Linked DNA regions of Rattus norvegicus. The protein of the gene in region 5 interacts with the protein of the main gene of each other region in a pairwise test. Links are inferred from orthologs where the notes say so. Each region holds a gene or a part of one and is shown on either strand. Other genes may lie near its edges. The genes, in order: Osgin1, Nadk, Rad51d, Mageb18, Lnx1, Nudt14 and Rpia.

What was found.
Region 1: the proteins of Lnx1 (region 5) and Osgin1 interact in binary tests that used the Homo sapiens proteins (3 or more experiments, as listed by UniProt). The two-hybrid records come from large-scale screens. The link is inferred for Rattus norvegicus from reciprocal best matches to the Homo sapiens genes LNX1 and OSGIN1.
Region 2: the proteins of Lnx1 (region 5) and Nadk interact in binary tests that used the Homo sapiens proteins (3 or more experiments, as listed by UniProt). The link is inferred for Rattus norvegicus from reciprocal best matches to the Homo sapiens genes LNX1 and NADK.
Region 3: the proteins of Lnx1 (region 5) and Rad51d interact in binary tests that used the Homo sapiens proteins (3 or more experiments, as listed by UniProt). The two-hybrid records come from large-scale screens. The link is inferred for Rattus norvegicus from reciprocal best matches to the Homo sapiens genes LNX1 and RAD51D.
Region 4: the proteins of Lnx1 (region 5) and Mageb18 interact in binary tests that used the Homo sapiens proteins (3 or more experiments, as listed by UniProt). The link is inferred for Rattus norvegicus from reciprocal best matches to the Homo sapiens genes LNX1 and MAGEB18.
Region 6: the proteins of Lnx1 (region 5) and Nudt14 interact in binary tests that used the Homo sapiens proteins (3 or more experiments, as listed by UniProt). The two-hybrid records come from large-scale screens. The link is inferred for Rattus norvegicus from reciprocal best matches to the Homo sapiens genes LNX1 and NUDT14.
Region 7: the proteins of Lnx1 (region 5) and Rpia interact in binary tests that used the Homo sapiens proteins (3 or more experiments, as listed by UniProt). The link is inferred for Rattus norvegicus from reciprocal best matches to the Homo sapiens genes LNX1 and RPIA.

The regions. Positions count from the first base shown.
Region 1 is NC_086037.1:64,403,901-64,406,782, reverse strand, and holds part of Osgin1 (oxidative stress-induced growth inhibitor 1), read right to left. Parts: intron 2,209-2,882; 5' UTR 2,171-2,208; coding exon 2,104-2,170; intron 1,256-2,103; coding exon 1,119-1,255; intron 755-1,118; coding exon 563-754; intron 462-562; coding exon 370-461; intron 1-369. UniProt on the Homo sapiens protein: Monooxygenase catalytic activity. Involved in regulation of cytokinesis; promotes RHOA activity, probably acting locally at the midbody in late cytokinesis.
Region 2 is NC_086023.1:171,449,877-171,453,376, reverse strand, and holds part of Nadk (NAD kinase), read right to left. Parts: intron 1,786-3,500; coding exon 1,656-1,785; intron 699-1,655; coding exon 590-698; intron 474-589; coding exon 388-473; intron 1-387.
Region 3 is NC_086028.1:68,319,103-68,323,355, forward strand, and holds the start of Rad51d (DNA repair protein RAD51 homolog 4), read right to left. Parts: upstream 2,801-4,253; 5' UTR 2,680-2,800; coding exon 2,598-2,679; intron 2,327-2,597; coding exon 2,265-2,326; intron 2,076-2,264; coding exon 1,957-2,075; intron 1-1,956. UniProt on the Homo sapiens protein: Involved in the homologous recombination repair (HRR) pathway of double-stranded DNA breaks arising during DNA replication or induced by DNA-damaging agents. Bind to single-stranded DNA (ssDNA) and has DNA-dependent ATPase activity.
Region 4 is NC_086039.1:61,453,355-61,457,564, reverse strand, and holds the start of Mageb18 (melanoma-associated antigen B18), read left to right. Parts: upstream 1-1,410; 5' UTR 1,411-2,301; intron 2,302-4,210. UniProt on the Homo sapiens protein: May enhance ubiquitin ligase activity of RING-type zinc finger-containing E3 ubiquitin-protein ligases. Proposed to act through recruitment and/or stabilization of the Ubl-conjugating enzyme (E2) at the E3:substrate complex.
Region 5 is NC_086032.1:33,867,416-33,871,370, reverse strand, and holds the start of Lnx1 (E3 ubiquitin-protein ligase LNX), read right to left. Parts: upstream 2,801-3,955; 5' UTR 2,696-2,800; intron 1-2,695.
Region 6 is NC_086024.1:137,835,571-137,839,691, reverse strand, and holds the start of Nudt14 (uridine diphosphate glucose pyrophosphatase NUDT14), read left to right. Parts: upstream 1-1,321; 5' UTR 1,322-1,393; coding exon 1,394-1,474; intron 1,475-4,121. UniProt on the Homo sapiens protein: Hydrolyzes UDP-glucose to glucose 1-phosphate and UMP and ADP-ribose to ribose 5-phosphate and AMP. The physiological substrate is probably UDP-glucose. Poor activity on other substrates such as ADP-glucose, CDP-glucose, GDP-glucose and GDP-mannose.
Region 7 is NC_086022.1:104,304,919-104,309,017, forward strand, and holds the start of Rpia (ribose-5-phosphate isomerase), read right to left. Parts: upstream 2,801-4,099; 5' UTR 2,770-2,800; coding exon 2,506-2,769; intron 1-2,505. UniProt on the Homo sapiens protein: Catalyzes the reversible conversion of ribose-5-phosphate to ribulose 5-phosphate and participates in the first step of the non-oxidative branch of the pentose phosphate pathway.

The DNA.
Region 1 (2,882 bases), on a different chromosome or scaffold from region 5:
TTAACCTTTTATAAAAGCTGTAACAGAAACCTGTCTTCAGAAGCTACATTTAATATAATGTCACACTTGGGGGGTGGGGCAAGTGGCTGGCAGTGGATCACTGGGGTGGGGTATTTGCTGAGCCAGGGACACGGCCCCTTTAGGAATATTACGAAGCCCTGTAAAGGGCAGATTATGTAATTTCACCAGAAAACACTTCTCAAAAGTGCTATGAGGGAAGTGCATTTTCCTGTCACGACACAATCCTGAAACCCCCTCCTCATCTGCAGGGACAGAGTCCGTCAGAGCCAGAACCCAGAGAGGCCAGTTTTATCTGCCTGTTTATAGGGGATTCTCCTCTGCCCGTCCAGCCTCCCAGGGTCCCCTTACCTGCATTTCTTCCGCATCCAGTCCTTGACCTGCAGGTCTGGGAGACTCATCCACTGGCCTTGGCTCAAAGTCACCATGGAGCCTTCAATGGACTGCAGAGAAAGTTGTTGTCAGGCCCGGCCAGGACAGCAGCACCCCGCCCCTCCCCAAGTGTGAGGGAGGGAGAACAAGGCTACTCCAAGCCGACACTCACATGCCAGGCACCCCCGGGGAGGTTCCGTCCCAGGACAAGGTGGGGAATGGCACGGTCCTTCTGCCGCTTCCAGGAGAGCACAGAGTCTAGGCTGCCTCCAAAGTCTGTGTCAGGACGTAGGAGGGCATCAAAGAGCAGGGCCACAGGACTCTGGCTTCGGCCTTCGAGGCCTTCGGAAAGGTATTCTAGGTCCTGAAGAAGGGCACAGGTCAGTGGGATCCCCAGGGGATAGCATAGTCCCACCTTGAGTCTGAGGGAAACTGGTCACACAGAGATCTCTATGCTGAGTAGTTTTGGGGACTGTCACTATGGTTCTTCTGGGAGCCCAAGGGCCCCAGTGAATGTTCTTGGAGGAAGTCAGTCATTGAGAACCATGGGTCTAATGTGTGGTCAGACAGCTGACATGGCATTGGCGGGTCTTGGAAGACAATCCCAGTTGTTCTTTCCCTGTTTTACAGTTTGTTTTGTGGACTCCTCTGTTTTAAGGGTGGTCTTCCAGGGACCCCTGGCTTTCTGCTAGGAGAATGGCCCTCCTAGACTCAAGTGTCAGACCCACCTGATCCAAGATGGAGACCCCTGGAGCCTCGGTCAGCTTCCTCTGCAGCAGGGGGTGCGGGTGGACAGCTCCTGGTTTCACATAGGGGATGTAGCCAGAGAGCAGGTAGGATAGACAGATACCCGAGGGACCATTGCCTGCAGAGACAGGAAGGTCAGGTCTACTCAGCATGAAACATTCACCAAGCCCTGACTCTGTGACAGAGGCCATGTGTAGTAACGACCAAGAAGCAGACAAATGAACAATGGTCAAAGGTTTCCTGCGTGAAGGGTTTCTAAGTATAACCACCTCAGTGACATCAGTCAAGGAACGGGTACTGGCATTTTCTCTTTGTGCTTAGGGGAATGGGCCGGAGAGGATAAGCAGGTGTCCCATGTCTACTTGGCTGTCACACTCAGGGAGACAGGGCCTGTAGCCATGCAAGCCTGAAACTTGGGAGGCTGAGGCAGGAGGAGCTGAAGCTCAAGGCCAACTTGTACAGCATAGTGAGCCCAAGAGGAAAAGCAAAAGGTGGGTGGGTGTGTAGCTCAGGGGCAGAGTGCTTGCCTAAGCCAGGAGGGCTGTGACAAGGACTTGGAGGTGAGAGTCCATCAGCAGGATGGACTGCTTCAAGTCCTGGGTGTCTGAGTTGACCAAAGCTCCTCCTAGCCAGGATTGGAGCGTTCTGTGCCCGTCTGTCCAGCTCTCCCCAGCTTTCACTTTTAAAATGCCCGCTCGTGTGGGTCTACCTGATGCTTGCACCCTCTTCTTCAATTTGGCAGGGCTGATGACAGGAACCACGGGCCCTATCTTTGTGTTCCCTGAATGGGCACCTGGCACGGGTGGACACTGGGTAATGGTGCAAACCTTATGTGCATAGTGCTGGGCCCACAGCACTATGGCAACCGTCTAGAGGCCAGCCTTGACCTCGCTAGCCTCAGACCCAGGGGTCCCCAGAGCACCAGTGTATCCCCCACCCTTGCCGGGGGTTGGGGGAGACACTTACCAATGATAACTACTGGGAGGGGATCGGAGCTGCTGGCCCTGAGGGAGTCATGCCTCCAGGAGCTCATAGCTGGGGTTGGTGTTCAGCCTGGGGTTGGCAGCTGACCTGGAGAACAGAGCAAAGAGGAAGCCCCTTTAGTCAGGCTGGGTGATGTCACTCACACAGATTCTCAGCTCAGCTACTCGGTGGAGCTCCAGCTGTCTGCGAACCAGGAGCCACCGACTCTACTGAGCCTCATGCCATCCCCCCAATCCCCCCAACACCCCCTCTTCATCTTAGGAGAGGACTCCCTGCCTGGTACAGGAGGGATGGGCAAGGCAAGACTTCTTTGGTAGCTGCAGGGCCACTTCCCCACTTCCTCACTGGTGACACTGGCTGGTTCCCAGACCCGAGCCTCAGTAAGCCATACAAGTAGGAGAAGGTTCTGGAACACCTGCTAGGGTGGATTTACTGCCAGGATGGCCCTGCCTGACCTCCGGCTCAGGGCAGGGCTGGACCTTGGACTTGGGGAGACTCTGACAGCTGGATTTGGGAAAAATGCCAGCAAACCTGGGTTTTGGAGTTCCTGCGCCCCCTAATGGCCACAATGCCTAATTGCTCTAAGCACCGGAGCTGCGTTCTCAGGCTCACCTAGTGGTACAGCACACTGGTCTGAGGTCACATCTGCAGAACTCTTACGGAGGAGGCAGAATTCTGGGGGTTGTATGTGAACTCTCTAGTTTGGAAAAGTGGGTAGCCAGTGATGAACCTTTATGCAAATACCTCACAGGCCAACAAAA
Region 2 (3,500 bases), on a different chromosome or scaffold from region 5:
AACCTGCCCTATTGCTAAAAATTGGACTAAAAAGAATTCCCATGTCCTTAGAGTCCGTGGCTCTCAGCCTTCCTAACGCTGTGACCCTTTTCTACAGCTCCTCATGCTGTGCTGACCCCCAACCTTAACATTATTTTCGTTGCTACTTCATAACTGTAATTTTGCTGTTGTTACGAATCGAAGGTAAAGTATAAAGTATGAGGTGTGTGTGTTTCCGATGGTCCCGGGTGATCTCTGTGAAGATGCTGCCTTTGAGTAAGAACACTAAGGACCTTGTTTGTGGTTTCTGGTGTGAAGCTGCATGAGGAGGAAGCAGGGTACTTACACTGAAAGCAGCTCCTCACACTGGACTCAAAACTACCTTAACACCCCCAAGCATAGCCTTACCTGGAAAAGTGAGGAGGCATAGAGCAAGGTACCATCTCCTCCAAGGCATATGATGAAGTCTATCTGGTTGGAAATGTCATCATAATCTACAAGACAAACACAGAACTGTTGTCGCACAAACCCTTAGTGCCCAAGTGTGCAGATACCAACAGGGCAGAATCCTAATGGCTTCTGCCAGCTGAGAGGGCTCAAGTCAGCACACCTTCACGGAAAGTGCAGAACTTCTTCTTCACTGGTCCAAAGTTTTCATCACCCACTATAGCAGGGTCTTCCAGAACTTTCTTTTCCACATACACGATCATGTTGTTTTCCTGGAAGCAAAGAATGCATGGGAACCCCTGCATTGCCCATGAGGCCCTCACCAGTGCAGTCCAGGTCATGCTGGCTTTCCCACTTTGGGACCAGGTGGAAAGATGTTTTCTTGGCTAGCAAGTCATTCCCATGCTGCTCAGCCCCTCACAGTACAGTCAGGAACTCTGCGGCTCAGGGTGTCATAGAGACCTCTTCCAAAACAGGTGCTTTCTAACCCCAGTGGCTCTTGGTTTTGAGGGAGTTCCCAAAGTCATCTACTGAAGTGCAACATGATTTTGAGGTGCCACTTTAGTCTTCAATGTCCAGAGGTGGCACCTCTGGGGGGTGATTAGGAGTTAAGCCATCAGGGTAGAGCCACACCACTGCACTCTTGTGGTTTTATGGGGAGAAGGAAAGGCCTGAAGGTATCTGCACACATATTTAAGAACAAAGGCTGTCCTGTGCCTGGGGGCTCTGCAGGGAAGATGGCTGTCATCAGTTTTGGCACCTGGACCTTGCATCTTCAGAATCACAGGCTAAAATAACCCTCTCTTTCTTAAAACTTACCCAGACAGGGGAGATGTGTTATTGGCAACATCAAAAGGATCACGGTGAGGGTTTAGTGCTGCAACAGGACTCAGAAAGTAGTGTGTTGGAGGGTCTGAGGTCAGGAGGGCAAGTTCTTTGTGAACACGTGACACAGTATAGGGCTCTTGCCAGATGCAGCTCCTCCACCAGGGTTTCCCAGCCCCTAGCACTCCAGGCTAGCACTCCAGGCTGGCACTCCAGGCTGGCACTACAGGCTAGCACTACAGGCTAGCACTACAGGCTGGCAAGTACTTTTTAGAATGCTTCCGACAGCTAAGTAAAAGGCCTGTCAAGTCCTGGGTTCTGCCACCCTGGCCATGTCTCTTCCCAGTGCCAGAACAGGATGCATCAACCCTAGAGCCTAGTAGACCCTATCCTGCTTGCCTTACCTCCATGAGGTATATGCAGAGCTCCTTGAAGGGCTGCAGTAAGCTGGCATCTCGGATCTTTTTGATAACAAGCACACTCTTTGGAGACTTGTTCCATGTCAACCGTTGGCTTGCAGGGTCCTGGATGTGCCTTTGGGGAGAGAAGAGAGCTCATACCAGCAGTTGTCTTTTCCTTGAGGAATATGGAAAAATAAAAAGAGCCAAAAACCAGAAACAAGTAAAAATGCATTGCCAACTGTATGCATAGAATCAGCAATGGTTCCCACCAGGGATGGCTGCCAGCCAGTCTGCAGCCACTTACTGGGAACACCAGGGTTCCAGAGCATCTGTCCTTAGCTACTAGTAGACCCTGAAGACCCACCCTGCCCAGCCACTGTCCACATGGCTTTGGCCACATCCCCTTGGGCACCCTGCTTGGCAACCTTCAACAGGTCAGATCATGTGTGTTATGGTGGGAACAAAGATGGCAACAGAGGGAAGCCCAGGCTCCGTCAGCCCACAGAGGGCATCTGTTCTTCACAGAACCTACAACAGTTGGTTTGAGGACTCTGTCCTGGGGTCTACTGTGGACTATTTCCAGTCCCAGAACCCTTCAAAACATGTGTTTCCTTTGATGTACCTGGAGGGTGTATGGCTTCTCTCTGCCACTGTATAAACTTAGCTGAGCCTTACTTATTAATTAAAAATCAACATAAGTATTAAGATTAATAATAATTATTAATTTTTTTCGAGAGGTTCTCATTATGTGGCCTTGACTGGCTTAGAATTCATTATATAGACCAGGCTAGTCTCAAATTCATAGAGATTTGCCTGCCTTTGCCTCCTGAGTGCTGGGATGAAAGATGTGACCTGGTACCATGCCTAGCCCAGTAAATCTTCATTTCTGAAGAACCTTTTTTCCTGTCCAACACAATCTCCCCAATTATACAATGTGTTCTAACAGTCTGTGAGAACCCATAACCAACCTTCAAAATTATGACACTATTAAAAGTAGAGGTCACGAGTGATCAAAGCACTCACCTGTTCCTGGCATTTCTGGGAGGGGAGAGGCCGCTCATAGCTGCCTCTCTGAACCTCACCACCTGCCTGTAGTGCTCACGACTCCTGAGGCGCTCGCTCTCCACCTTCTAGGAGATAGCAGGCATATCCCCAGCATTGCGGTGTTCCCTCTCTAGCAGACACACACAGCCCTGCCTGGCCACCATGCTCCTAGCTATGTATTACACTGAGTTTAGTTTTTGTATCCTCAAAACTGAAAGCAAGATGTAAAAGACTTGTCAAGGTCCTATAGCAGTGTTCTCTAAACTATGAAAATCAAATAAACAAAAACAGAGACTCCCTTCTGACTACATGGCCCTTTTGCCTCATCATCTGGTTTAAAAATGAAAAACACAAGGTTAACTCTTAAGAGGAAAGAGGGCCAGTCTCAACTCCCTGTTCTTAAGGCAGGGCCAGGCCCCTAGCCTAGCAGGCCCCTGGCAGGGCAGTGTCCAGGCCCAGGAAAGAGAACTGGGTGCATGGAAAAGGCAGGCCCGCCCACAAGAGGCGGCCTCAGGCCACCTGCAGGTGAAAGGGCTGCAGGTGAAAGGAGATCACTCCCTGAACTTGCCAGGCTCTGGGTTCCAGAGAATGTGGGTGGATCACAGACCTCTGCCCCACCAGAGCTCCAAGCCCACACCCTGTACCCAGCAGCCTATCCTGCCCATGTGTGGGTTATGGCTCAGGCCCAGCCCATGACTCTTTCAGCCCCAAAGCTCAGTAGGGCTCAGCATGTGTCACCAGCATTTTATATGCAGGTCAAGCCCTCCCTGTGGCCACAAACCAGCTCACCTTCCTGTTGTGTCA
Region 3 (4,253 bases), on a different chromosome or scaffold from region 5:
ATAGGTCTAATGCGTGCTAATCGCAAGTTTCACTAACTTGGCCTACAGCCTCCAAAGCTTCAGAGTTACATCTACTAGGTAGGCACAACACACTGGAGCAAAGTCTAAAATCTAGCAAACCACCTTTAAAAAAAAAAAGATTTATTTACATATGTATGTGAACACAGTGTCATTCTCTTCAGACATACCAGAAGAGGGTATTGGATCTCATTACAGATGGTTGTGAGCCACCATCATGCGTTTGCTGGGAATTGAACTCAGGAAATTCTGGCAAAGCAGTCAGTGCTCTTAACCACTGAACCAACTCTCCATCCCAGCAAACCACCACCTTTGACTCTTCAAATCTACACCCGATCTCACAGTAAGTCTCTTCTCACGTCTCTCCTTCAACATATCTTCCACGGTTACAAACCCTGGATCAGACTTACACACCCCAAACCAGCAGCACCAGATCCCTGCTTGGCCTCTCCTGTGTCCTGCACAGCCATGCCCCATAGCTTACAAATGCTTTCACAGTGGCCTCTCACCTCCAAGTAGACCTCAGAACAGTCCGCTGGAATTAAGGTAAGACACTGAGCCCCACTCCTACAAAGAGCATCTGCATGTGTCTGGCACCCAGTAGGCACTCAGCCAACGCTTGATGGATTACAAACACAGACCCCCAACCAATGAAAGCAAGCACCAGACTGTGCGGACCTTGCCAAGAGAATGTGTTATGGAAACAAGGGCCAGACCAATCCGAAGACCTTTGTGATGGCAGTGTTATTCATCAAACTCTGCACAAACAGGCAGGGAGAGAGGTCAGACACGCTTGGCCAGAAAATGCCAGTTGTCTTCCAACTCTTTCCCAACCGGAACAACAGGGCACAATGTAACTGCTCATTTCAGAGAGCCATACCCATTCCCCACTGCTGCCTCATATGGCAAAGGCAACAAGGTTCTGGATTAGATAACCCTGGGCTCACCTCTCCTGGCCCCTTTCTTAGGCTAACCACAAGGGAGGTCAATCATTTCTAACATCCATAACCTAGGGTGGCAGTTTCTCAACCAGTGGGTCACAATCCCTTTGAGGATTGTTCAACCCTTTCACAGGGGTGGCAGATCTTGCTTATTAGATATTTACACTATGATTTACAACAGTAGCAAAAATTACAGTTAGGAAGTAGCAAGGCAATAATTTTATGGTTGGGGGTCATCACAACATGAGGAACTGGATTACAGGGTCACAGCATTAGGAAGGTTGAAAACCACTGGCCTAGGGTCAGCGCAAAAGTGCTAACTCCCAGGAACTCAATTCTGCCCAGGTCTCACTTGCTTTATTCTGGGCTCTTTATCACGGGCTCTACTGAATAATGGGATATTAATGACATCTTTTGTTATAGGACAGTGGCTTTTCCCTGGGGAAAGTTAGCTTGTAGGAGATACTGAGTCACATCTGGAGACAGTTTTTGATTGTTGTAACTGGGGGCATCTTGCCATCTGGTGCCTAGAGAGTAGGGATGCTGCTAAATGTCTCTCAATGCACAGGACGCTCTATCTCAGCAAATAATTAGTTGCCCCTCAAGTATCAATAGTGTTGAGGCTAAGAAACTCTATAGTTGGGCTGGAGAGATGGCTCAGAGGTTAAGAGCACTGTCTGCTTTTCCAGAGGTCCTGAGTTCAATTCCCAGCAACCACATGGTGGCTCACTACCATCTATAGAGTGATCTGATGCCCTCTTCTGGTGTGTCTGAAGACAGCAACAGTGTACTCACATACACGAAATAAATAAAATCTTAAAAAAAAAAAAAAAAAAAAAAGAATAGAAGCCCTATAGTTTTACTCTTAAGGAAAAAAACCTCAGGAGTCTGCATGCCTGCAGATTCCTCTACAGCTCCAGGTGGCCCTCACTGGCCCCGTCCTCTGTAGCCTCAGCACGAGGCTCTGCTTTCACCTTGTCCAGGTTCGCATACAAACCTTCCGATGCCGGTGGACAGGATGGCAGTGGAAGTCTTCAGTTCCTCATAGAGATCTGCACCATTTAAGGGGAAAGCCGAGAACTGCGCCAGCAACACTCTCCTCAGGGCAACCAGGGCCTGCCAATAGGGCGGACACTCAGGTTCCAGATCGATCAGACTGCCCCTAAGAGCAGCTGCTCCGCAGAGCACTTCAGGTCTAGAGTCACACACACCCCCCTTTAACAATTCCTAGGAACTCCGATCCTGCAGAGTGGGGAGCAGCTCTGGAAGACCGGTTGGAGTGGAGTTTGCCAATCGCGAGCTCACCTTGTAGGACAGACCACACTTCTGGGCTACCTCCTCCAAGTCAGCAGCTGCCAGGTCTGCCACTGGAAAGAGAGCAGCAAGTGCAACTGATTCGCAACCGGAATGGCTTAGCCTTGCCTTGCTTGCCTTTTCCTCAGTTATGAAATGGGATTAAGGTCTTATTCTACTTCCAATCTGCACGCAGGCCCTAATGCAGGACCCGGCAAGGGGCCCAGCACTCAGTAAAATCCTCTACCTCGGCTCCCGCGAAGCAGCTTCCCCAGTAACCCTCCGGTTAGAGCAAAAAGCCCCATACGTGTATCGAGACCCCCGGGGTTGTGCCCATGAGGTCACCTGTTTTGATCTTTCGGCCCCTCAGAAGCTGGACGATCTCCTCGGTGAGGCCCGGGCACAGCCCTGCCCTGAGCATGCCCATATTCCCTGCAAACCCAGGACGCCCTGGGGGCTGTCTGTCACGTGGGCGCCCGCCGAGTCCCCCACTCTAGGCATTCCTCAGTTCCACTTAAGGAAAAGGTCCTCCCGTGCTAGCGAGGGACGAGGGGGCGGGAAAAGGATGCAGGTCGTGGTGAGGGACAGGAACCCTTTCCAACTCCTCGGACTCCGGCGCCCTGGGCCCGCCCCCTCCCGGCCGAGGCTTCCGGGTTCCGCGTCTGGAGCGTCTTTTGTGGGCCAGGCCTGCAGCGCCATCTGCTGACCACGAGGGCAAACGCGGCAGCCCCATGCAAGCTGCAGAGCTGCGCTGGTCACTCACTGCTAACACACATGCTAACACACACACACACACACACACACACACACACACACACACACGCACACGCATAGACACAGACACAGATACACACACACATACACACCCTTCCAATGAGTGTCTCTTGTGTAACAGCCTCTATTTGCAAAGTTAGGGGACACTCTCACTCTACTAATTCAATACTTATTGAGGGAAGCAACCCTGACTTCTAGTGGCATTCATGTTAGGGAGTCAATGAAAAGGAACCAATTCAGATTACAGATTGTATGATCGAGATGAGATCCAGCGAGCACCTGTACCTCTGTATTTTCCAAATTTATTGTTTTATCTTATGTATGTAGATGTTGTGCCTGAGTGATGTCTATACACTCCTTGCAACCCTGGTGCCCAAGGCAGCCAGAAGAGGGGGTCAGATTCCCCTGGACTGGAATTACAGACGGTTGTAAGCCACCATATGGGTGCTGGTCTTCTGGAAGAGCAGTCTGTGCTCTTAACCACTTAACCATTTCTCTAGCCCCATATTTCCCAAAGGTTTTAATGGGAGTAGGGGAATGCTTGAGTATATAAAATATATTAAATATAGTTTACTATTTTGAATTTTTTTTTACCACATCTAGTGGAAGAAATAAAGTTTTGCGAACCCACGAGTGAGGTTCTATTTCTGTCTGTACTTTGTATTTTGCGGCTCAGTAAGATTGTTATTGTATGAGTTACACAGCTAGGAAGCACAGAACTGAATCTCCAGTCCACATCCAGCTGCAAAGCCTGTGTTATTCAACTTTCTCCATCCTCGGAAGTTGTGGGTGTGCTTTCTAAAACCTGTACTCTTCTAGCAGAGATGTATGGCTCATTTTTAGAAATATCCCCCCATGTTCACCATTGTTTCTCAATCTTTCAAGGTGTTTGGAACCCTAGCTCCCCAAACCAGCTACTCTGAGCTTTTACCGTGCCTGTTCCTGGCTGCAGTGTAGGGTCTGCTGCTTAGATGCCAGGATAAAGACCCTTAGAAACATCAACAGGCAAAGGCTTCCTTTTCAAAGTCTGTGTTGGCTCAGGCCAAGTGGTGCTGGCTTTTTTCACTAGTCTGCTACCCCTTCCTGGACAGCTCTAAGGGGGCACAGGCCTTGAGCCTTTTGAAGTCTTCAGAAGATGACCAAGTAGCTGTGGCCACAGATGTGGCCTAGAGGAGGCCATTTGTGCTGGAAGGGGCCATCAAGTCTGTTTCTTGGCTGAACCCAACC
Region 4 (4,210 bases), on a different chromosome or scaffold from region 5:
ATATGTGCATCCACATGTATACAATTACGCAAACACCATACACATATACATAAAATGCCTTATATGTGCACATACTTCAATTTATGAAGATCTTATTTGGACTGTCATTTCTGTATCTTGGTAGTTACTTATAGTATTATTTTCTCAGTGTTTGTTGACCAGCATGTAGGAATAAAATTCAGGGACGTACAAAGGAACTATGGTGGAGAAAACACAAATTAGTTATTTAGAAGTATAGTGATTGAGTATATAAATAAAAAGAAACTTTCAAGTATCAAAATGGCATAATAGAACTTAGATATTTTTGTATACAGAAGATTATTGTATATGTGAACAGAGATAATTTCATTTTTGTTAATGATTTGCTGCACTATTTTCTTTGATACCTGCCTCTTGGATGGGGCTAGGATTCCCAATGCTACATTGAATAGCAGTGGCAGAAGCAGAGAACCTTATATTTTTCCTGATCTTAAAAGGAAATCCTTCAGTTTTCCCATGTTAAGTGTGATGCTAGTGATGTGCCTCTTATATGTCGCTTTTATCATGTAGATATATAACTTCTTTCTTTTTTGTTTATTCTATTACTGCAACACGATGTCGTACCTTTTTGACACGATGTCAATTTTTGTTATCATTTAGACGATTGAATAATTTTTATTTTCCATTTGGCTGATGTGATGGGTAGCACTAATTATCATGTGGGTAACGGTAGGTATATTCCAGGCATACCATTATAGCCATGGTATGTAATCTTCTTTACATACTGTCCAGTTCAGTTTGTTAGTACTATGCTGAGGATTTTTGCATGAATATTTATCAGGGATATCTACTGTGGTTGTCTCACTGTCAATGTAATGGAGGTATTCTCTAGTGGTTTTGTCCTGTAGGATTTTCTTCCTTTTAAGTCATATTTAAGCCTCTAGTTCTTTTGGGGTTGATTGTTTTCATATACTGTGTGAGATGATGATCTGTCATTGTTCTGCACAAGGATGCTTAGCTCATCTGCCACCATACTAGATAGAGTCCTTCCTCCATTGTATGTTCCTGGGATCCTTGTCAAAATCTTGTCTGCAGTATGGAGTTTTTTTTTCTGGATTGTCTATTCTCATAGCCGGCATTCTATTCACCATAAGTGACAATGACTAGGTTAGCTGATTAGATGTTTATAGCAAATATTGATCCCAGTCTTTTGCTGCCAGGAAGTTCAAGTACAGATTTACTTGAAATGGTTAAAGCCAATCACTCACAGATGATTAAAAATTTAAAGTGGGTATGTGCTCAAAGATGGTTTTGAAAATGGCAGGTAGTGGGAAATGGCCTTAAAGAAATTAAATGCTTTTAATATTGAATTTAGAATTTATTAAATTTCCCATTTTTAGTAATAGGATTTTTAATTTAATTTTTCTAGGTAATAGAATGCTGACAGTTTTGTTAATGAAATCTTTATGGATAAAAGTAAGAGGGGAATGGAAATATCTGCTAATATAAAGAAGACAATTGAACCCTGGAGAAATAAAATATCCAATGCTTATTCCTCTGAGAATAAAGGTGGGGTTTTTGGTCTGCTTAAAGAATATTTTATGGATTTATAAACAAAATGAAACTGTCTTGATAATTCATTATTGATAAATCCTTGTCCTCTTTGGCACTCTACTTTTCTTGAATATCTTTATTTTATACAACATTGGCACTCAGCTATTAGCCTAGATTTCTGGATGTTTGTCTTCTCTGGCCTTTATCCCTATCAAGTCTTATGACTTGTGTGTTCTAGGATTTTCTTTGTGTGGTCTCTCCAACTGAATAGAAAAGGGAAGGATTTCTAACCTCCATAATTTCTAACGTGATCACTTTTTCTTAATTGCTAGATCATACTTGTCTCCATCACCATCCAATTAATCTTCCCTGTGTCATCAGTCATCTTTCTCTGATGTAACTGTCCTAACGTCTCTTGTTTGCAAACCTTCCTAACGAAGCTTATGAATGGAGCTACGTGGTAGACTGTTATGTAGCAATTGAAACCTTCCCTCCTGAAAGAGGGAGGGAGGCTCATAAGACACAGGAAATAAACAAACTTACAACTTTCAAAAGGCCCCGGAACTTATAAGATTCATAAGGCCCCTTTCCAAGGTTATCTAAACAGTAACACTTGCTGGACAGAGGAGACTCTCTCACCCCCACCGGCTCAGCTGCCTGTGCGCCATGCAAGGAGCTCCAGAGATGCAGCTTTGGTGAGTCGTCGTCACCAATGCTCTAGTGGATTTTTTGATGATCATCTGGCTTTGCGACATCCATGCTGTACGGGTAAGTAACCCCCTCACTCATACTCCTATAAGTAATATCCCGACAACTGATCAACTGCTAAATTACGCTTGGATACAACTGTTTCTTTGCTGTTATTCGCCCTATCTGAGGCGAATAGACTTTTGTTCAGGGAAAGTCCCACAACACAGATTAAAATTCTTTGACCCTTGAGTCATTGAGCAATGGGGTTCTGTGTTCTCTTATGTTGCATATGGGTGAACTTTGTGAGAGTTTTCCTGAAAAAGTCAATACGAGTAATGTGAAGCTGTTTGTTTCTTGGCTTATGAGTTGAGAGACTGGCTGTTTATAATTATTGTTTCTTGGACCACTTTCTCTTTGGATACTCCCTCTTGTCACACAGTTATACAAATTGCAGGCCACTTGGAAAAGTCATGTGTATGTGTTCCAGTTGAAAGCTCCAGATGTGCTCTCAGCGTCAATTCATAGCTATGGGATTTAGCAATCTTGAAACCTCTGGGCCAATAGTTGCAGTTGATGGAGATTTGGTATGAACTATATTCTCAGCCAATATTTGACTGTAACATCCCAGTGCATGAAAGTTCAGAAAAGAACCAGCAGTGAGCCCAGTCCAATAATAATAATAATAATAATAATAATAATAATAATAATAATAATAATAATAAAAAGCAGGACATATAAAAAATGAACTAGAAGCTAGGTGTGGTGGCAGTCACCTTAAATCATAGCACTCGGTAGGCAGAGGCAGAGGCAGAGGCAGAGGCAGTTGGATCTCTGTGAGTTTGAGGCCAGCCTTGGCTACAAAATCCAGGAGTCCAGGATAATCAGGGCTTTGTAACACAGAGAAACCCTGTTTCAAAACACAAACCAATAAAAACAAAACAAAACAAAAACCCAAACAGCAAAAAGGACAAATAACACTAAACTACAATTTAACAGTGTAGTTTTAAGCTGAATTGATTTTCAGTAATAGATAACTGAAAGAATTTGGCTTAACATGTGCTCTTTGTTCTCTGTTGACCTGCTTTTAACTATTATTTTACAATTATCCTAACAGGCACTATTTTTTTTCAATTAACTTGAGTATTTCTTATATACATTTCGAGTGTTATTCCCTTTCCCGGTTTCCGGGCAAACATCCTCTCCCCCCTCCCCTTGTTTATGGATGTTCCCCTCCCCATCCTCCCCCCATTGCCGCCCTCCCCCGAACAATCTAGTTCACTGGGGGTTCAGTCTTAGCAGGACCCAGGGCTTCCCCTTCCACTGGTGCTATTACTAGGATATTCATTGCTACCTATGAGGTCAGAGTTCAGAGTCCAGGGTCAGTCCATGTATAGTCTTTAGGTAGTGGCTTAGTCCCTGGAAGCTCTGGTTGCTTGGCATTGTTGTACATATGGGGTCTCGAGCCCCTTCAAGCTCTTCCAGTTCTTTCTCTGATTCCTTCAACGGGGGTCCTATTCTCAATTCAGTGGTTTGCTGCTGGCATATGCCTCTGTGTTTGCTGTATTCTGGCTGTGTCTCTCGGGAGAGATCTACATGCGGTTCCTGTCAGCCTGCACTTCTTTGCTTCATCCATCTTGTCTAATTGGGTGGTTGTATATGTATGGGCCACATGTAGGGCAGGCTCTGAATGGGTGTTCCTTCAGTCTCTGTTTTAATTTTTGCCTCTCTCTTCCCTGCCAAGGGTATTCTTGTTCCCCTTTTAAAGAAGGAGTGAAGCATTCACATTTTGATCATCTGTCTTGAGTTTCATTTGTTCTAGGCATCTAGGGTAATTCAAGCATTTGGGCTAATAGCCACTTATCAATGAGTGCATACCATGTATGTCTTTCTGTGATTGGGTTAGCTCACTCAGGATGATATTTTCCAGTTCCAACCATTTGCCTACGAATTTCATAAAGTCATTGTTTTTGATAGCTGAGTAATATTC
Region 5 (3,955 bases):
GATGCAATGATTCAAGGTCACTGACAGGTTCAACATATTCTACTTGGGGGCTGGAGAGATGGTTCAGTGGTTAAGAGCACTGACTGCTCTTCCAGAGGTCCTGAGTTCAAATCCCAGCAACCATATGGTAGCTCACAACCATCTGTAATGAGATCTGAAGCCCTTTTCTGCTGTGGGCTAATATATAATAAATAGATCAATCTTTAAAAAAATCTCTACTTAAATGTGTGGATCTTATCCAAAGGACCCACGAGCCTTCCCCCTCCACAGAATGGTACAGGTTGCAAATTATCTGTCACCTCTCACACTGGCTTGGCCAAGTGCTCATGGAGTCTGAGGTGGAAGATGTTTACCTACAAGATTAGAGGGGACCAAGTACCCAAGGCCACTCAGGGTAGTAGCATGATTAAAACAGTCTGGGCTCCCTGCCCTCCAAACAACGATGACCTCTCCTGACAGCCTTTAAGAACTCACACTTTGTGGATGTGTCAAGAGATCACAAGAAGGAAGAGAGACCACTCCAGAGTTTGCTTCACCAAGGGCCAAGGGGGCTGGCAGGCACACGCTGCCTGGCTCAGGGAATGACAGCCCGTTCATTCTCCTCCCTCTGGACTGTTGTGTTTCTCCAAACTGTTAGCAGTGGGGTTAATTACTGACAATTAATTACAGTAATAAGAGCCGGGTCCTGAACCATTGCAGCCACAGGAGAGCTACATGGGCTCACACAAGTCCTCTAAGCTCCCAGGAAATTTCTTCCAGCAGAGAGGAACTTGTCTTTTATTTGTCCCTGACTCCAAGCTCACCTATACTCAGAGAACCACATTATAGCACATGGTACTTATCTCTCGTCCTACTGAGAAAGGAATGGCGGTTCAGAGAAGTCCAGTAATTTGCTAAGGAAATACATATTGTTTCCTTTAGCACTTTGTATACACCCAAATTAGTGGAGATGTCACAGCAACTTCTCAAGGACACATGCACGTTATCCAACGAGCTGCCTCGACCCCTATGCTAGACACTGGGACTCTGGTTTCTGTCCCCTTTTTTCTCTTTCTTGAATTGGGGGGGGGATTTTATATATATACATATATAATATATATTATATATAATATTTTTCTAAGCAGTTAGAGACAATGACAAAATAGTTTGTTATTTAATCATAGGTCCATTGTTGTAAAAATGACTAATTAACCAGGTATAAAAGAGGGGTGTGTGTGAAAGTTTGCAGAGGTTTGGAACATCAAGGACAAATTTACACCTACAAAACTCCAGGCTATGAGGAATCTTTTTCTCACTTTGCTCACAAACCTCTGAATCAACCGAGAATGTTACTAAGGCATCAACAACAGTTACTCTGCAAACACAGGAGCTTAGAGGACAATATAAGGCACAAAGGTCAACTAGAGAAGAGACTATGAGCTTCCCAAGAATCAGAAAGAAACTGGCAACAAGCAGGAGGCAGATGCTTACCAGGAAGAAAGAAGCAGCCGTTCAAGGGCGATACTTTTTAGTTGTTTCCGTTCATACACTCTTGGACAGTTGGCAGGTTCTTTTAACTTCTAGAGGGCTGTATATGGGCTTAACTCCTAGTAGATGATTTCCTTACAAAGCCATCTGCTAACTTAACTAATGCAACTAACGAAGGCCTATGAAATGAAAAGACTCGTTCATTTATTTCTCTCCCCGAGTTTCCCAGATAAGTTGATAAGGAGATGGACTGGGGATTTATTCCTCTGCTCTTGTTAATCATATTAGCTGGTGGGGGTGCCTGCCCATTGAGAACAGGTTACACGATCAGGATTAGAAAAACGAATATGGGTCCTTGAGGTACAATTACTTTTATAGTCAGGTCCTGGCAGAACAGTCTCCTCCATATATTTACTATATTAAGAGCAAGGTAGAAACAACAGAAGAGTTTCAAACCCAGACCTGGGGCTACATTCTTGTGGCCTTGAAGGGTAATCTTTACTTTAACCAAAGGTCAGCAGGCAGCCTGTCGGGCCTGAAAGTAGGTAAACAGAGTTCTAATCCAGACTGCTAAATGTTTTCCACAAGTAAAGGAAACTGAAGGCTTTTGAGAGAGAGAGAGAGAGAGAGAGAGAGAGAGAGAGAGAGAGAGAGAGAACTTATAAACAGGGAGCCAGAATTTATCAGCTTTAGTACTGACTTTCTGTTGTAAACAACAACAAAACCTAGGGAAGTATTACAGCTTTTCAGATGAGATGAATGCAGAAGGCAAGAAAAAAAAAAGACAATCTGAATTTTGTGAGTGTCCCCAGCACCCCCACCCCCACCACACACACACACACACACACACAAAACAGGCTGGACTGGTCTGCACATTTGAACTAACTTTCAAAGAGCATCTCATCTCACTTTTCTCTGGGGTTTTAAAAAGAATCAAATCAACTTCACAACAAGCAGAGGCTGGATTAGTAATCAGGAAACAAAAATGATTAAATATCTGGCCGAGACAACACTGCTGGTCACAAATAAGACTGTTACAGACATCTTTACTCTCAGAGTGTTACTCTGGACTGAGCCATTCAGTGAGCTCGCTCTCTCTCTCTCTCTCTCTCTCTCTCTCTCTTTCTTTTTCTTTTTTCTTTTGTAATTTTCATTCAGATTCCTCATTTAGATCCCTTCTGGGTCAGGGGTCTAAAAACCAAGAGAGGAAAAAATAGTTCCTGCTCACCTGTTCAAAGATGTCTGGGGCTTTCAAAGCAGCAGTCACCAGCCCGCCTCCATCCCTGTGCCAGAAGCTTCTAGGGCTGCCTGAGCTGTGACTGGTCTCAACTTCGGTGTACAGGTGGCTGGAGGAAGAAGGAGGGCATTGGTTGGCTCAGAACAGGAAATCTGTGACATCACGGAAGTCTGGCTGAGACTTTAGGGACTAAAACAGCCCAGGAGGCCCCGCCCCCTGTCAATTACCTGAATACCTTGGAGCAGGTAGGTGGCGTCTCTCAGAGGACAAATGAATCAGTTAGAGCAATTTGCTGGTCGGAATTTACTTTCCTTCCTGAGCAGAGCACGTGTCTAGCCCCGTGTACAGATCTGAATGGGTATGCCTGACTGTTTCCCAGGCCCTTTTCGTCTGCCTGATATTCTTTCCGAGGGCTCTCACAGGCCCACACAGCTGCCAACACCAGAATTAAAAGGGAAGTTTAAACACAGGGATTTTTGTAGGTGCAAAAAAAGAAAAAGGTTGAGAAGACTTAGCTATATCTGGGATTTACCCCCCTAATGCCTTTCTGAATCGCATCCCTTTGAGTTCCTAGTGTTTTTTTTTTTCTGTTCCAATATTATAACAAAACTGGAGGTGACATGACAAGCCTTAAAAATCTAAGTTCGATGCCTGTCAGCATCATTTCCCAAACTCCCTCGCAGTCCCCAGTGTATTATATTAATAATAGATTTGGCCATTGGTAAAACTTCAGTCATTCCTACCTCTCGGTCTGTCTGTCACCTGGTGGTTACAGTCCACAGTAGGCCTGCAATTAGGGGTACTTTAAATGATTCAGGTTAGAATGATAGCGCCTTACTAAGGCGCTGTTGTCTGCTGTGAGAGCTAGGGAAGAGGAGTCAGAGTTATTTTGGTCCCAAGCTTGGTGTGTGACCCTGGATAAGTCACGCTTGCTTCAGCTTTTCCAGCAGGAAAGAGAGGCTAATGGCAGGACTCAGCTGGCACTTGAGTGACAGCTAAGAGGATTCCTGCCTGCTGGTTAAGGCCTATGGCATCTTGTCCCATCAGCCTGTTGAATTGCTGTGCGCCTGTGGCCCGCAGCCAGCCTCCCTCGCAGACTTATTCACTCTCCGGAATGTGCTACCTGAGGACACTGGGGAGTTCTCTCTCCTAGGTTGGTCCAGCCACACTTTTGTCCCTTAAGGAAGAAAACACCTGCTGAAAAACACCTTCCCCCTTCTGATCTCAAAACTGTAAGCTTTACCTGTTCTA
Region 6 (4,121 bases), on a different chromosome or scaffold from region 5:
AGTGTGTGTGTGTGAGTGTGTGTGTGGTGTGTGTGTGAATGTGTGTGTGAATGTGTGTGTGAATGTGTGTGTGGTGTGTGAGTGTGAATGTGGAGTGTGCGTGTGTGAATGTGTGTGTGTGTGAATGTGGGGTGTGTGAGAGTGTGTGTGTGTGAGTGTGGTGTGTGAATGTGTGTGTGGTGTGTGAGTGTGTGTATGTGTGTGTGAATGTGGAGTGTGGGTGTGTGAATGTGTGTGTGTGAATGTGGGGTGTGTGTGTGTGGTGTGTGTGAGTGTGTGTGTGTGAGTGTGTTTGAGTGTGGTGTGTGTGTGAATGTGTGTGTGGTGTGTGAGTGTGAATGTGGAGTGTGCGTGTGTGAATGTGTGTGTGTGTGAATGTGGGGTGTGTGAGAGTGTGTGTGTGTGAGTGTGGTGTGTGTGTGAATGTGTGTGTGGTGTGTGAGTGTGTGTATGTGTGTGTGAATGTGGAGTGTGGGTGTGTGAACATGTGTGTGTGTGTGAATGTGGGGGTGTGTGTGGTGTGTGAGTGTGTGTGTGGTGTGTGAGTGTGTGTGTTGTGTGAGTATGTGTGTAGTGTGTGTGTGTGTGAGAGAGAGAGAATGTCTGTGGTGTGTGTGTGTGTGGTGTGTGTGGGGGTGTGGTGTGTGTGTGTGGTGTGTATGGAGGGGGACGTGTGGGGGGTTGTGTGGTGTGTGTCTGTGTGTGGTGTAGTCTTTAAGAATGGCTCTGTGAACCATGTGTCTGTCCCATATAGGGAAGTCATCTCCCGTGGAATTTGGAGTGGCCTGGAACTTTAGATGCATCTGGATTGACACTGTGATGGAGCAGGTATGGGGCCCTGACTAGCTGCTGTAAATGTGTGTAGTGCGCTAAGGAGCAACATGGCCTCTGTGAAGAACAGTCAGAGACAGGAAGTCGCACTTTCTCTCAGACAGGGTCAGGTCAGCTCTATATGGGCTGGGGCTTTCCTGGAGTCTCCCTTCACCAGCCTTTTCTCTTAAGATTTGTTCTGAGAGAAGTCTTCTTCCTATTCGCCCCTTCTGTATGCTCCAGTGGTCACCCTGACTCCCCAGACTTGGGAAGGGAGTGGGGTTGTTACTAACCCGGGCCAAGCAGACACCTGCTCAGTTCACCTACCACGGTGATCCCCTCTGATTCCTACCCGTTGGAGGCTTCATGTACCTCGAAGCCCTCCTCCACCCTACCCAGTTCGTGTCCACTTTATGTAGGGCACTTATCTGAAAGCACCTCCCTCGCGTGCAGCACTCTGCAGGTGCTACCTGGACTCTGTGGCCCGCCTTCCGGCCCGCCCCGCGCGTGAACTGGGCATGCCCAGAAGTGCGTAGACACGCCCGCCTGCTTGGATCCGCGGAAGACACTGCTCCGCGCCACCATGGAGCGCATCGAGGGGGTGGCCGTGGGTCTCTGTGCCCATTCGCCCTACCTGCGGCCTCTCACGCTGCACTACCGCCAGGTGATCCGCCCCGCTCGCATGTCTCCGCGTGCTCACCCCCAAACCCCTGCGTTGCAGGCCCGGCCCCGCCCCCGAGCTCAAGCCTCCGCCCTGAGCGGATTCTCAGAGCTTGAGCTCCGCCCTCCTGCAGTCCTGACCGCGGGTCAGTCCACCCGGAATGGCCTGGGAAGGGCATGCGAGGAGAATCTCTCTTTCCTCCAAGATTTGACTGGCCCTCCATTTCTGACCGCCTGTCGATACTTTCATGCAGTTAGACCCCTTGATCTTTGGGTATCGGGGCAGGAAGAACTCTTGGGAAACCCCACATTTGCAGAAACCCTCCTTTGCGCCTTCTTTCAAGCTCCTCCTTCAAGCCTTAACAGAAAGTATGCTGTCTGGAAGAAGCCTCCTCAGCCTTTCGTAGTTCCCAGGTGTCTCCCAGAACAACAGGGCCATACATAACTATCTCACATGGCACCGTGGGGGTACATAGTAGGTACACAGAAAACATTTGTTGAACCTACTTGCTGCCTCTTCTCTTTCCCCTTACCGTGTGGTCTTCTCTCTCCCCTACCCTGCGTAGCCCTGCCTAGCAGGCCTCTGGCACATTACCTATTTCCACTCTCTATGTGGTCTGATACACACTGTTTTCCTGACCTCATCAACGTAACCCTGCCTGGGTTTCAGCTTAGATCAAACCACCCAGGGCTTGGCATTTGTCCAGCTCTCCATCCCTCGACAGTGTTGTGGCCCCCAGCCTGAAAATCCCCTTGGCTCTGGTGTGTTTGCTGTATGGAGGTCTTTCCCCCCTACCCCTAGGTGCAGCAGAGGTAGTATAGGCTTGAGGGAGCAGTTGGATTCATTGAGGAACAAAGGGTAGAGACGAGACACGGAGGTCAGGATCCTTTTCCCTTTCACTGGCTGGTGACATGGGTGGCCACTGGGACTCTTACATACCCAGCACCTGGAGTTCTGATGGGCAGTGGATGGCCCAGGCTAGTTCACTCTCCCCCCACTTCCTGGGAAGTGCTGTGGGGTGGCTTTGCAGACTTGGCTGGCAGTCCGCCAGCACACTTAGACTGATGGCATTGGTAACCAGAGCCCCGTTGAGCAGGCAGTGGCCCCGCCATAGTCATAGCTGAATGGGCCAGGCAGCATTTCCTTGGGAGCTGAGGGACACCGGGCTGGGCTGTGTTTGCCATGGGTAGGGGGATCTGCAGCCTTTAACTGACCAAGAGCAGCAATGGCCTGCCCTATACAACATGGGTCCACTGCCACATTCTAGAACTGTCTTTCCCTTCCAAGGCCAATTTCAGCTTCTGTGGCCCTTCCCACAGTTCTGACAAAGTGTTTGACCCTGAGTCAAGAGGGTCCTTGGAAGTCACCTAGGGTGACACCTGAAGGGAAGCCGTGGGGGCAGGCAAGACAGGCAGGCTCACTGCAGCCTGGGCAGGTAGCTTTCTTTGGAGCCTGCCTGGGTGGCTGGAGATCGGGCAGGCCTGGGCTCGCCTCTTGAGGTGGTGCTTCAGCGGCCTCCTGGGCAGCCTGACCTACCCGGGACATTGGCTCTTGTCTCCCCCTGGAAACCAGACTGATGCTGCCCTCTCAGGATCTCTCTCCCTGCTGGCTCAAGTCTACCTCTCTGATTTGAGATCTCTACCTGTGAGACTCTCTCGTCTACCTTTCTCCACCTGTAGACCAACACGAGGAAGCCCTGTGGCTGTCTTCAATCTCTGTTTGTCTGTCCTCTCAAATTGTTGCCTGGCAACACACTGTCTCTGGGACCCAGGCCTCTGTCTTTTTATGCAGATTGGATGGAGCCCCGGCATCTGTGGTGGGCTAGGCAGGGCTCATGAATGACCCAGAGGTGGACTAAGCAAGTCCGCCCCACCAGCAGAGATCCTTCAGGAAGGAATGCTGGCTCCAGTCCTAGGAGACAAACTGTCTTTCCAAGTGGCATTTTGATGCTGGGGATTGTGGGGATGGTGGGATCTTTCTAACCTTGTATACAAAGCACCGTTGACGCCCTTTCTGGGTGCCCCCCTTATCTATTTCTTTTTTTTTTTCCCGTTTTTTTTTTTTTTTTCTGAAGCTGAGAACCGAACCCAGGGCCTTGCGCTTGCTAGGCAAGTGCTCTACCACTGAGCTAAATCCCCAACCCCCTTATCTATTTCTTGAGTGCTACCCTACATGCAGGGACAGCAGGACTATGGGATGTGTAAGAGATAACGCGAGCCTGAAAGAGGGCGGGGCAAGTATTTACCATCCATCTGACATGCGCAGATCCGCCGCTGCAGCGTAAGCTGTCCGGTGGCGCACGGGAGCTTCGGCAATGAGTGCGTGACTTCTGCTCTGCCCACCTGGAATCCTCCCTGCCCTGCCTAAGGGTATCTCATCTGCTTTTCCTGTGTCCTCCGAGCTCCTCCCCACACTTGGTGGCGGCACAGGCCTCTGTCCTTTGTCCTCATGAAATGCCTTTCCTGCCCTTTGCCAAAGTTTTCTGCCTTACCTTTCCCAGAACATCAGGCTATCCTGACCTCCCGGGCAATCTCCTCCACCTGCTCCAAGTCCCCATTCCTGAAGGGTGCAGGCAGGCAGTAGGCCTCCCTGCTGGGAGCTGCTACAATGGGTCTGTCTGACCCCTGTGCATCTCCATCTGTTGGTGGCA
Region 7 (4,099 bases), on a different chromosome or scaffold from region 5:
GAGTGCCCTAGCGAAAGCCAAAAGGTGAGATGCGGCCTGCAAACTGGCCCAACAGCTGGTAGCCCTTCTAAAGGCAATGCTATACAGCATGCCATCAAGACATCAGGGTAATCTCACGAATCTATGAGACTGGCTTCGGTGGGCTAAGCCTCTTGGTGTATTTGGTGAGTTTGGAATAGTATGTTAGTAAAACAGGCTTCTACCAAATTAAAAACACAAAAATTGCCAGGCATGATGATACACTCCTTTAATCCCAGCACTAGAAAGGCAGAGGCAGGCAGATCTCTTTAAGTTTGAGGCCAGCCTGTTCTACATAGTGAATTCCAGGGCAGTCAGGAATACCTAGTAAGACTCTGTCTCAAAAAAACCAAAATACTAATAATAATATTAATATTATCTGCCCACTAGTTTCCTCAGGCTAAGCCAATCTCAAATCGAAGCCCAGGCACCACAGAGAGCAAAGATGAAGCAACAACCATGAGGATAGCATAGCCGTGTACAGTAACCCATCTGAGGTAACTACACTTAGTATCAGGCAGGTCTGGACCTGGTGACAAAGATTCAACTGAGAATTCAGAGTTCATCTTCACTGAAACAGAAATAGTCACAATGGAATGAATACCAGCAGGCTAGGGAACTGGAAACCCCACACTCAAGAGAGCCTAGGAAAGGGGCCACCAAAACCCACAACCTCCAACCTCCATTCATATCAGTGTTCCCATTCTACACATCTCACTGAACGCTGCCTAAGCAGCTCTCACTGTACACAATGCTGAATGTATAGATAACGTTAACTCTCCTCCCAGAGCTCACAGCGAGTTGGGCGAGAGAAACACAGAGAGGACTAGAACATAGGTCACGCTGAAGTGTCTGGGAGCCGTAATCAGAGGAAGCTGAGTGTATCACACACCTATAATGCCAGTCCCTGGGAGGCAGAGTCAAGAGGATAAAGCTGAATGATGATACACACCTTGGTAGATTTCAAAACCAGCAGAGTCCACATATCAAGTTCCTGCCTTGATATATGCTAGCCTGCTACAAAGAGGGAGGGGAGGGTTTCAAAGCCAGCCTGAGTTTCAAAAGAGGAAGAGGAATTGTCCTCTCCTAGTCTCCTTAGGAAGCCAAGAAAAAACTGAAAGTAGTCCTTTGAATATGGCCAGAACATCCGGTAAAGGCTTGCAGATTTCACTTTAATCGAGTACATAACAATAAAGCAAAGGTCAAGGAGACTTGCACCACTAAACATTAACGGTTTACCTAAGATAACGAGCTTTCCTAAGGTATGGATTTCATTTACCAATCTATTAAGTCACTTCGTGAAGGCATTTTGAAATTCCTCTTTACTAAGTAGTTCCAGTTTTACAGCTGTGGCACTGAATTCCAAACACAGAGCAGTATTACACATTTTACATTCACGCTCATACCCCACAACCCTCCTAAATGTGGAGTATCAAATCTTATGCTAAGATGAGCAAAGAGCTATACAGAACAGAAGAACAGAAGAGCAGAAGAACCCTGCCTGAAACAAAAATGGTGTTCTTCTGTTCAGCAGGCAAGCCGGAGGTTATCAGACCCGGTCCCGCCCACTCAGGCCACCCTCACTCTTGGCCGGGAGATAGATAAAGCTCTAAGAACATCATCTTTGCAAAGTAACTTTGTACAGCACTGCGTTAACAAATGAAAAGAATTCCCTTTAACAGAGATACGGATTCTGGTAACGTGATCTAAGAAATAGGAGTTAACAAATGAAAATAATTCCCTTTAACGGAGATATGGATTCCAGTAACCCGATCTAAGAAATAGGAAACATGACGGAGAAACTTCACCACAGGGCAACAGAAGAAGTACAATTAAGATAATTAACCTGCTACCAGACAGCAAACCCACCTACACTAAGAGTCCACTCAAGGTACCACACCCGCCACTTAACAAACAAATGGGGACTCAACCATACTAAGTAACTGCAAAACATCTGGACCCCGCCTAAAGAGCAGCACCTCCAGATGTGTCCATCTGGCCCTGTCAACAGTAACCTGATGGCTTCTTTGTAAAGACTACACAAGCTCCTCAGCAGGAGGAGCTGAAAAGCATGTTTGGAGTAAAATTTCAAAACACTTCGCAAAACAGCTCTCCACTGGCTTCCCGGTAAGCGAGAAGTGAAGAACAGCAGCCTCGGGGCTCACCATTTTCAATGGGCTTGATTAGGAGGCACGCATTAACAGCCTGACCAAGACTCTAAACGGAGTACTGCCCGGCTCTATTGTGCATCCAGTTCCAGCCGGACAGGAAATCTTTGTAGAAAAGGCTCTAGTTGGGGGAGAGTTGACACCCACCCATTCTCTGTCTAAAAGGCCTTTCAGGGGTTGGAAAGAACAGCGTGGATTCGGGTACAAGGCTCACCCTCTCCCTTCTCTCGCAACCCTCGCCCTTTCAGGAGTCAGGCGCACCCTGGCAGTGCCCTAGGCTGGCAGCACGAAGCCATCACGCCGCCACCAGTTGCCCCACCTTCACGTGGTTCTCCACTGCCGTGTGGCTCGCCAGTTTCTTAGCCTCCTCGGCCTTGGACATCGTGGAGGGGGCCGGGCCGCCCGCGCTCGAGCCTCCCTTGTCGCCGCGGGTCTCCGACTGTGTACGCCCCGGCAACTGCACGTGGGAGCCCGAGAGGCCCCAGTTGTTCCCGCCCCCACCCGAGGCCGCGCCCCCGGCCCGCCCGGGCAGTGGGGCCAGGACCCGCCCGTAGAGGGTGCTGAAGGGCCCGGGGCGCTGCATCCCGCCGCCTCGCTCCAGCCTCTGCGGCCGCCCCACCCCCAACTCCTCCGGAAACCCGCTCGCTTGCGCAACCTGCCCGGCGCGTATTGCTATATGTGTGTTGCTGGGAAATGTAGTCCTGCAGCGACAGTGGTCCCAAGCCCTTCTGCAATCGGGACTACAAGTCCCATAATGCCATCGACCTAGTGTGCAAATCGCCCGCCTTGACTTCAGCATTTCTGTCCGGAAGGTCCGGCTAACTGCTGTCTAGGAAGCTACCTAGGGGTCAAGTGTTTACAGAACCTTTCTGGCTGTATGCATGTTCTAAAAAAAGAAGAGAAAGAGAGACCTATTAAAAACCTGACCTTGTTTGCCCAACAAAGGAAGACGTTACTGTGTTGTAGGCGAGTCCTCAGGCAAGTGGGTCTACCAACGGCTTCTTTATAAATCTTTTAATTACATTTTACTATTTAAGTTGTGTTTGTATGCATGAGTGTGTTCTTGTGTAGGCCAGAGAACAACTTGCAGAAGTCCGTTATCATATCATCTTGGTGGTGACCATCTCAGCCTACTTACAGTGCTGTGATATACACACTTGGTACTCCCAGGTCTTCTGAAGTCTATGTTAGACCTTTACAAACCCAAGATTACAAGTTCAGTCATTAGCTCCTGCCTTGGGCATTGTTCTGCTCTTAGAATTAGAGGCCAAGGTGTCTGAATGGAGCCTGGGTGAGCGAACACAGCCAGTGTGTTGGGCTTCCTTCTCTACCTTTAGTTTGCTTGTATGTAAGGGGTGAGGAATTCTTATCACCACCCTTTACAAGCAGAAGAAACTAGTGCTGACCAAGCCTGAACACTTGGAAATTCTTGGTCTCATCCCGCAGCCTCACTGGCCTGGAACTTGGACTGTTTTTCCTGAGCTGGATTACACCATTGAAAAGGGCTGGAAGTTCTTGTTGTTTTGTTTGTAACTCTGGCTGTCCTGGAACTCTAGACCAGGATGGCCTTGAGCTCACACAGATCAGCCTGCGTTCCTCAGTGCAGGGGTTAACAGCACATGCCTACAAAAGGCACATGACTGCAAACCCCCAAGAGCTGGGCTCTTCCAAGAACTCCTAGGAACAATAACAGACAGGTCTCAGTGCATTTTTGCAACTTAAGCATTCAGGAACCACTTTATAGATTCCTTTGCCAAAAAAGGAGAAGAAAGTTCTTCAGCCACCATTACAAATGTAACTTCAGTAGCCACCAAAATCAGGTGTGCCACTATTGTTCAGACACTTTTTGAAACTCTTGAGGAACCCACATCCATACATGGGTAGTATCTTAGAGTTATTATTGCTGTGATGAA